Caenorhabditis elegans: one gene and its partner. The protein of the gene in region 1 purifies or fractionates together with the protein of each later gene. This does not show direct contact. Each region holds a gene or a part of one and is shown in the gene's direction. Other genes may lie near its edges.

Region 1 (4,086 bases):
CGACAAACCGGCAAGTTGCCGGAATTGAAAATATCAGGAAAACCGGCAGTTTGCCGATTTGCCGAGTTTGTCGACAAAATTTGCCAAAATTGCCAAATGGCAATTGCCGCCCACCTATTGCCGGTTCAGTATTTTAATGAAACACTTCAAAATTTTAACATTTTTCAACATTTTCAGTCAAATTTTTGGTGAAAAAAATTCGAGAATCGCTGGTTTAAACCCTCACCAATAATTAAAAAATATTTGAAACACCATTGAATCCGCTCGTTGAAATTTTTAAAAGTTGTTTTTTTTTAATTTTTGAAAAATTTTACTACGATTTTTTTTTTCAATTTTAGGAAATTCATGTAGTTGCTTGAATTTTTTCCTTCCTCTTTCTGAATTTTTTTTGTATTTTTTGAAAATTCGGAAATAAAGGCTGTCAAAAAATGTAATTTTACAATAAATTGTATTCTCGCTTTTACATATTGAATTGAATTGAATTTATTACGATTGAAATCATGATAATAAACGTAATAAACATACGATAATAAACATACAGAAAACTAATAAACATACAGAAAATGAATTATCATCTGAAAAGTTGATTAGTTGGTACATGAATGTGCGGGTGTCAGGGAGATGAATAATGGGTAAAAGTATTAAACATGCATAGGACATGAGGTGCCAAAATAAGATTCATTGCGCAAGATTCATTGCGAAATAAGATTCATGTCCGAAGTTGACTTTTTTGGAATTATCGTCCTTTATTACATATATTGGTAGTTTATCTCATTTACTTTCGTTGATATAAGGTATATTTAAAGCCGATAGGTAACCAATTTCGATAATTTTTGGTTCCATATCGGCTAATATAACATACATAACATACATAACATGTGATATAACATACATATCTGAAAAGTCCCCTATTTTTGACAAAAAAACAACACCCAAAAATACCAGAAATGTCAAAAACTGCAGCGACCGACATCTTGTGAGTTCGCTTTTCCTGATATACTTCAATTGACTGGTTTAAAAACTCAGCTATCGATGGGCAAATTTTCGGCAAGTTTTCGGCATCAGGCGACCAAATTGCAAATCTTCGCAGTTGGCCAAACGTATAATTTTGTTGAACTCATATTTTAGAGCTTTTTTCAGTTTACAGTGTAATTTTTGCATTTTTCTGAATGCGAATTTTTTTTTCTCAAATTTTCACGTCTTCACACAGTTGCAACTCAATGTCAATTGTTAGACGGTTATTTTTTGATTTTCTTTTGGCCAGAAAAAATTGTCCAAAAAGCTTGTTTTTTTATCAAATGTAAAAAAAAACTCATCTAATAGTAAAGCTAAAATTTTATTCCAGTAGGGTCCAGAGTACCCGATGGGCACACCGGCCACACTCCAACTACACAGCTGACCCGCGCTTCTCTCCTCTTTTTCGTTTGGGTACGCAGTTGACGTCATATCTTCTTTCTTTTTTTACATGCCAGCTTCATGTTGTGCTTTATATTTTGTCTTTTTGATTTTCCAGCAATCGTTGTATTTTTTACGTTTCTAGTACAAAAATGGAGAAGGTCAGATTTTTTTTTCTAAACACAAATTTGATTAAATTTGATAATATCTCGTGAATAAAAATGTTTCAAATTGGTGATTTATGATACAAATTCTTTCAAGAAAATCAATAATGATTATGTCAAAAGGAGCATTTTCCACGCTACCCGCCACCGAGCCGAAGTTGTATTCAAAGTTGGTGCAGTTCCAAACCAAAAGGAGAAGATTGGTAGATTTAAATGCAGTTTATGAGGTAGGTTGACACTGAAATACTGATTTCTCAATTTAAAAGTCAGTTTTTCAGGACTCATTATCATCTGGCTCCCCATTGGGTACTGTGATTGGATTCCATGGAACTCCAGGGTCTCACAGGGATTTCAAGTATGTCAGGCAGCGATTGGAGCACATGAATATTAGATTTATTGGTATTAACTACCCAGGATTCAAGCAAACTCCAGGTAGTTTCAGTTAATTAATAAAAAACCATCAAATAATTAAAAATAAATTTCAGCGTACCCAGGTCAACACTTCGGAAACTGGGAACGAAATAGTTACTCAGAAGCTCTGTTAAACGAGCTAGATGTGCCGGGAAAAGTGATCATAATGGGGCATAGCAGAGGATGTGAGAATGCACTGATAACAGCAGCTAATCGGAAACCTCATGGACTAGTGATGGCTAATCCAACAGGGTTGAGGATTAATAAAGGGTCTCGTCCGAAGGGAAAGTTGGAGTCGCTGATTTATTTACATAAGAAATTGCCGAAAAAGATTGGAGATGCCATTTTGTATAATTGTGAGTATAAGCAAAATGAGAAATATGCCATAGGCCACTACCAAAAAATGTTTCAATGTGGTGTTTTACTACTGTTGAGGCTCGTCAAAATGCTTGAAAGTTGGATTTTTTCATAAACTTTTTCATTTTGGGAGCGTTTTTGATTAAAAAAAAAGCAAAAATCTGAAAAGTTTTCTGGATGTTGCCTACCCCTAGAGCAATTTTACGAGCTTCAGAACAATTGGAAAAATGTCCTGTAAAAATAAAATTTGAGATCGGAAATTTTCTAGTTCAAAACGCAGCAAAATTATTGGTAGTGGCTTATTTAAAGTGTAGTTTTGGCAGTTTAGGAATACGTATTTTCGTTAGACCTAAGTTTTTAAAAGTGGTGTACCGAAATCTGAGACTTTACTTTTTTAGATCCAAAATGACCCAAAACTACCAAATTTCGTAATGAGATGTTCTGAAAATTTTTCAAATAAAAGTTATGTCGGCTCAATGTTTTAGAAAAAACCCGTTTTTGAGAAACTTTCAAAACATCTCATTATGAAAGTCGATGGTTTTGGGTCATTTTGGGTCTAAATAAGCAAAGTCTCAAATTTCGGTACTCCACCTTTAAAGGATGTTCGAAATTTTCAGGGATACTTCAGATCTTATAAATTATTTCAATTTCCAGTAATGAAATTGGTTGGATTCAAAATTCATGATGGTGAAGAAGCCGTGGCGGTTATTCGAGCAATTATGAACTGTGACCTGGAAAAGCAACTGGAATACATTCTGAAATTAAATGAACTGCCCACAAAGACTATGATCACTTTTGGCGGAAGTGATCATTTAATTGAAAAGGAAATTGTTTTTGAAGCACTCAAAAAGTATCAGGGACTCGCGCATTTTGTAAGTTTTGTGATAGAAAAACTTGAAAAATTGGAAGGAATTTCAGAATTTCAAAGCGAATATCACAGAATCCGAAAAGCAGAAAATAATGGAAAGTTTCAAAAATCAAAAAGGAACATCTGTATTTATTGCAAAGGATAATCATTTTCAAAATAAGAAGCGGGCGGATTTATTGGCAGATGCTGCTAGATCAATGTTATTAAATTAATGTTTTGAAATTTTCAAATTGTTTAACTTTACAAACAAAAGGGAAATCTGCAACATGAACAATATTTTCAACGACTATAATTTGAGAACTGTAATAGTAATTTTATTCAATAATAAACTTACAAAAAATATTTAGCTTTTGAAATACTGCCCCAGAAAAAGTCAGCAAAAATTACAAAAGACAACGAATTTTAGGTGAACCAAAGTTTTTAATCGGCAAAAAAAAGAGTTTTTCAATTGAAGGTTGATGAAATATTTATTCAAAGTTTTTTAGGGAAGATAATACTTATAAACGAGAGGATAAGAGGAGGAAACTGGAAAATTTGAGGTTGGTGATTCTCTAAAGAGAAGGATTTACAGCTCTGGTTACATCGATGAGCTCATCTAAATCAACTTGACCATTTCTGTCGATATCGGTGTAACGGAAAGTTTTGCGAATCCCTTCGGCAGACAGCCGTGCTTGAAAGTTGCTGAAGAGGGGTTCCAGTTCAGCAACAGAGATGAAGCCATTTCCGTCTTCGTCAAACTCTTGGAACACCTTTTTAAAATTCTCTTCACTCTGTGCCAAGCCTCTTAGCGACAACATAGCTCCTGTTAGCTCCTGTAAAGCATCTATACAAATTGTTTCGAACATTATTAAAAACTCACTCCAAGAGCCTCATTATCCTGAGAACTTCCAA
Region 2 (4,793 bases), on another chromosome or scaffold:
GGAATGCTCAACTTTGCTCGTCGCGACTACGACACAGCAGCCGATACTATGTACCCAATCAGGGACAAAATCGTCCAGATCGGTGGATCTAATTCTCAGCGGGATCTTTTTGTGCAGACACTGATACAGTCTTGCATTTTGAGCAAGGATCCCAAAAATTGGGGATTGACACCTGAGCTGCTGGCGGAGAGGAATGCCTTGCATCATAACTCGTTGGTGGGACTGCGACTTGCTGATAAGTTTAGAAATTTGCATCCGTTGTAAGTTTCTGGAGAGTTTAAGTTATAATATGTATGTAATTATTTTCGATATCCTTTTGTTTTTTCAATAAATAAAGTTATTACATTACAACAGTTTCGGGCCCCAGGAGTTCGTGATTTTTGCAATAAGTTGTCAAAGTTCAGAACACGCGATTTTTTCATAATCCGGGAGATATCGGCTGCGATATGAGACATACAAGACGGATGAGTTTTAAATAACACAATTTCGCAGCCGACATTTTACGGGGAAATTTCGACTGGCATCACAGTTGTATTGTGCTGCTTTTAACGACCCTGGAGACGTCGGTTGCTTTTATAAAACCTGTGAACTTCTAGGCACTCTCTAAAAATTAGTCACTGCTGGCTTAGTTATACTCAACTTTTCTTAGACTTTATAAATAAATTTTGGCCAGCGAGATGTCGGCTGATGTATCACTGAAAATGGGATATTTTTCCCAGGAACCCGGGAAATGTCAGCCGCAATGTAAAAACCAGTTAGGTGTCGGCTGCTAGTTATCCAAATATAATGTCGGTGGATACATGCTCTATATTATACACTTCCCATCAACCCGGGAACAGTCCGCTGCTGATGCCGTTTTGACCTGTAAAGTGTCCTGGGAAGATGTCGGGTGCTTTTTTTTTAATATCAGTTAAATCATAACACTCATTTTGACCCGTAAAGTGTCGTCTGCTAAGCTATTGTTTCCTGTATAACCCTGAAAAATGCCCTTTTTCCCGAATTGATTGTTTGATTCTAAAACCGTTTTTTTCAATTTTTTTATCAAACCCCAACTAATCGTCAAAACTTTCACGTATTTTCCAGGTGTTATCAACATCAGTATCACAAATGTCCTGGACACACAAGCTTACCTATTTCTTTCCATTTTGCATGTATGTTGTTTTTGTCCCAATGAAGACGCACGTGCTATATCTGTTTGTCGTCTAGTCGTCTGGCACTCTCTTCTAGACTGCATACTCTCTAATTGTTGACCCTTCTTTTCTTGTTTTCACTTTTCCTTTTTTTAGATTTGGCAGTTTTAAGAGGTTTTTGAGAGGTTTTTTTTCGAGAATTTTATATGGTTTTTTCGCATTTTTGGCCGTTGATAACGTGGTCTTTAGATTAAAAATCGTAAAAATTTGGAATTTTTTAGAAAATCTAAAGTGCAAATTTTACTAATTTTTATGTTAAAAAGCTATGATTGAAGTTATACTCCATTTTATTTCTCATAAGGTCACAATTTTTTTTCTCAACAACTGTGATTGTCTACTAACTTTGGGTACTTCAAAATTGCTACAGTATATCAAAAATCGCGAAAAACTAGAAAACTGGTGATCACAGTTCTTTAATGTTTATTTTTTTACTTTTTCATGTAAAAATAAAGTCTAAAATCAGAACTGAATAATGTAGAGCCATTTTTGGAAATTACCGAAAATTTTGAAATTTCCTACCTAGCGAAACTTGCGCGTAGGATATGTTGTTTTCCGTGCCGATTTTATTATGAATTTAGTTTCGAACGGAGCAACTCTATGTCAACAGTAGAATATCGTGCTTTTTCAATGCAAAAAAAATCCGAAAATTCTAAACTTTCCTATCAAGTCCTCCCTCCCCCACTTGCATCATCTAACCCCGTCATATCGTTCATTAGACCTACCGCCCATTCCTCCTCTCTTCCTTCAGAAAATGGCCGAATGGTGTGCCGATCATTTGCGCAATTGCGAAGGCTGGAAGTCGGCTGGTCTGGAACTATCAACTACGAGTGATGAGAATGCGAAATGGTTGGATGCCTGCATTCGACAGCTTGTGTCCTGGTCGGATTGCACCAGTTTAGGCGGATTTCATACATCGATCGAGAAGCTTGTGGCTTCGGATCCTGAAGCAAGTTAGTTTGTTTTTTGTTTAGCACTTGGAGTCTCTGAATTTTCAGTTATGGCCCGAACTTTCCTAGTGGGCCTCTCCGGGCTCGGCACAGAAGCCGCTGCTCGAAATGTCGAATTTGCCAAGAAAATGGATCAACTAGAAATTGACGCTGAAAAGTATGGAAACGCCAGAGAAAAGCGACATGCCAAAGCAGCGATTTTGTGGGGAAGAGGGTAAGGGCTCCTTTAGGAGATATTTTTTTGAAACTTTCCTGTTTTTCAGAAAGCATCATGAAGCTGCCATCGAGTGGGACAAGCTTCTAGATGATTACCCAACAGATTTAATTGCAGTGAAGTTCTCACACGATGCTCATTTCTTCAATGGAAATCAGATAGGGAAGAAGAACGCAATTGAGAAGGTTATCCACAAGTGGAATGCAGATTTACCATGCTATAGGTGAGATTTAATTGTTTCTATTTTCGAAATATTTTAGTCTCTAAAATTGGTTTCATTTTAAAATAGCGCCATCTACAACAAGAAAACTGTCCTAGTAAGCGCTGCGTTCAGATTTTCCGAATTTCAAAAAACCAATGCGTCTAGAGTGGGATTTGAATCCATCTAAATAAAAGAGGTTATGGTTCATAAGGTCTAGGAGTTCAAGCTAGGTTCAGGCCTATTCACAACTAAATATGAAAATTAAAACAAAAATAACTAAATAGGTTTTATATCTACATGCTTCGAAACCGGCTTCTATCCCCAACATTTTTTTTCTTTAGCTATCTCCATGGCATGTATGCTTTTGGCCTTGAAGAATGTGGTATCTACGATGATGCTGAAACACAAGCAGATCGGGCCCTACAACTGAACCGATTTGATTGCTGGGCTTCCCACGCAAAGGCTCACGTCCTCGAGATGAACGGGCGGCACAAAGAGGGAAAAGAGTTTATGTACAAAACGGAGGATGATTGGAGGGTACTTTTCAATCTATTCAATTAATTGTAAATATACTTCCCCTTTCAGCAAGGTTGGATGCTAGCCTCTCACAACTACTGGCACACGGCACTATTTCACATTGAGTACGCAGAATATGAGTCAGCGCTGGGGATTTTTGATCGAGAAATTGCGAATCGATTCAACAAAACCAACTCCTTGCTAGACATGGTTGATGCCAGCTCACTGCTGTGGAGGTTAGAACTGGAAGGTGTCAATGTTGGAAGGGATCGGTGGAGGAAGATAGAGCATCTGTCGAAGTTCATCGACAATCACTCAATTGTGTTCAATGATGTGCACCTAGGGCTTGCAATTTATAGACAGGAGGATTTGGAGACGGAGAAGAAGTTGAGAAATTCATTGGAGAAGTATTCATCGTGAGTAACACTATCCAGTTCGCCTTATCCGAAAAGAGAGAAGCTACAAATCTATGAAAGATTTTGACATGTTGTATGTACTTGGTAGGCATGTGGTGTCGAGCTGTCCCATTTCGATTTGATTTACGTAGATCTACGAGAATTGCGGGAATTTAGACGCAGACGTCTTTGCTGATTTCGCATGATAAAGAACCTGCTGACGTCACATTTTTTAGGGAAAATTTCCCGCATTTTTTGTAGATCAAACCGTGATTGGCGAAAATTTAAAAACGTTGTATCGAAAGGTGTTAGGATATGTGGAATTAGATGTGATAATCAGCTCCTAGGTCAAACTTACCACATATCAAACTATCATTTTTCAGGCTGCTATCCGAGGACAATGCCCAAATCAGCAAGACCATCGGGATGCCCCTCTACGACGGGATGCTTGACTTTGCCCGCTGCGACTACGACACAGCTGCCGAGACTATGTACCCAATTCGCGATAAAGTTGTCCAAATCGGAGGATCTCATGCCCAGCGGGACCTTTTCGTTCAGACACTGATACAGTCTTGCATTCTGAGCAAGGATCCCAAGAATTGGGCTTTGACGCCTGAGCTGCTGGTGGAGAGGGAGACCCTGAAGCATGACTCGCTGTTGGGCCAGAGGCTTGCTGATAAGTTTAGAGCTTTACATCCGCTGTGAGTTGGTGGAGAGTTTAAGTTATATTAACTTTATTTATTTTTAATTATCATATTTTTTATACACAATAAAGCAAGTTATTACAATAAAAAGTACATTTAATTTCTTTTAATTTCAAGAAAGTTTAGATATGAGAGCGAGCCTGTTTCTGGATGAGTGCCTTGACACGAGCTCCAAAATCTGGATGAACCTTTGAAAAGTGATCGATCATTCCCTTAATAATGAAATCATGACATTCCCCGAGCGGCCCTGCAAAGTTCTGGCACATTCTCTCCCGAGCCCCGGTATCCAACACCTTCTCCCAGAATTGACGGGGTTGATCATAGTTGTTGTCATCTCCACTTTCATAACGATCAACATCTCCAGTGGCTGGGAATGTGGTATCCTTGACATCCGGACGAGTCTTTCCATAGTTGAAGCTGTTCGGGAAGAAGTTTGGAGCATGTTGCTGATTGTCATAAGCCATTGCACCATCACGCTGGGTGTTATGAGCACGGGAGCGGTACGGGCAGTTGACTGGAAGCTGGATGTAGTTTGGTCCAAGGCGGTGGAAATGAGTGTCGGTGTACGAGAAGATACGTCCTTGGAGCATCTTGTCTGGCGAGAACTCGATTCCTGGGACGATGT

Evidence for each region.
Region 2: the proteins of K08D9.4 (region 1) and Y54G11A.7 fractionate together in Caenorhabditis elegans (co-fractionation; one large-scale study listed by BioGRID). This does not show direct contact.

Annotation. Positions count from the first base shown.
Region 1 is NC_003283.11:3,197,994-3,202,079, reverse strand, and holds K08D9.4 (AB hydrolase-1 domain-containing protein), read left to right. Parts: upstream 1-1,656; 5' UTR 1,657-1,666; coding exon 1,667-1,786; intron 1,787-1,837; coding exon 1,838-1,991; intron 1,992-2,044; coding exon 2,045-2,326; intron 2,327-2,419; exon of another isoform or gene 2,420-2,440; intron 2,441-2,981; coding exon 2,982-3,199; intron 3,200-3,245; coding exon 3,246-3,407; 3' UTR 3,408-3,536; downstream 3,537-4,086. Other genes in the region: Y73C8B.5 (EF-hand domain-containing protein), read right to left, coding at 3,747-4,007, 4,055-4,086.
Region 2 is NC_003280.10:14,295,367-14,300,159, forward strand, and holds Y54G11A.7 (Tetratricopeptide repeat protein 38), read left to right. Parts: upstream 1-1,938; 5' UTR 1,939-1,941; coding exon 1,942-2,140; intron 2,141-2,185; coding exon 2,186-2,351; intron 2,352-2,400; coding exon 2,401-2,574; intron 2,575-2,894; coding exon 2,895-3,090; intron 3,091-3,138; coding exon 3,139-3,485; intron 3,486-3,847; coding exon 3,848-4,169; 3' UTR 4,170-4,255; downstream 4,256-4,793. Other genes in the region: Y54G11A.4 (Tetratricopeptide repeat protein 38), read left to right, coding at 1-264; ctl-2 (Peroxisomal catalase 1), read right to left, coding at 4,291-4,793.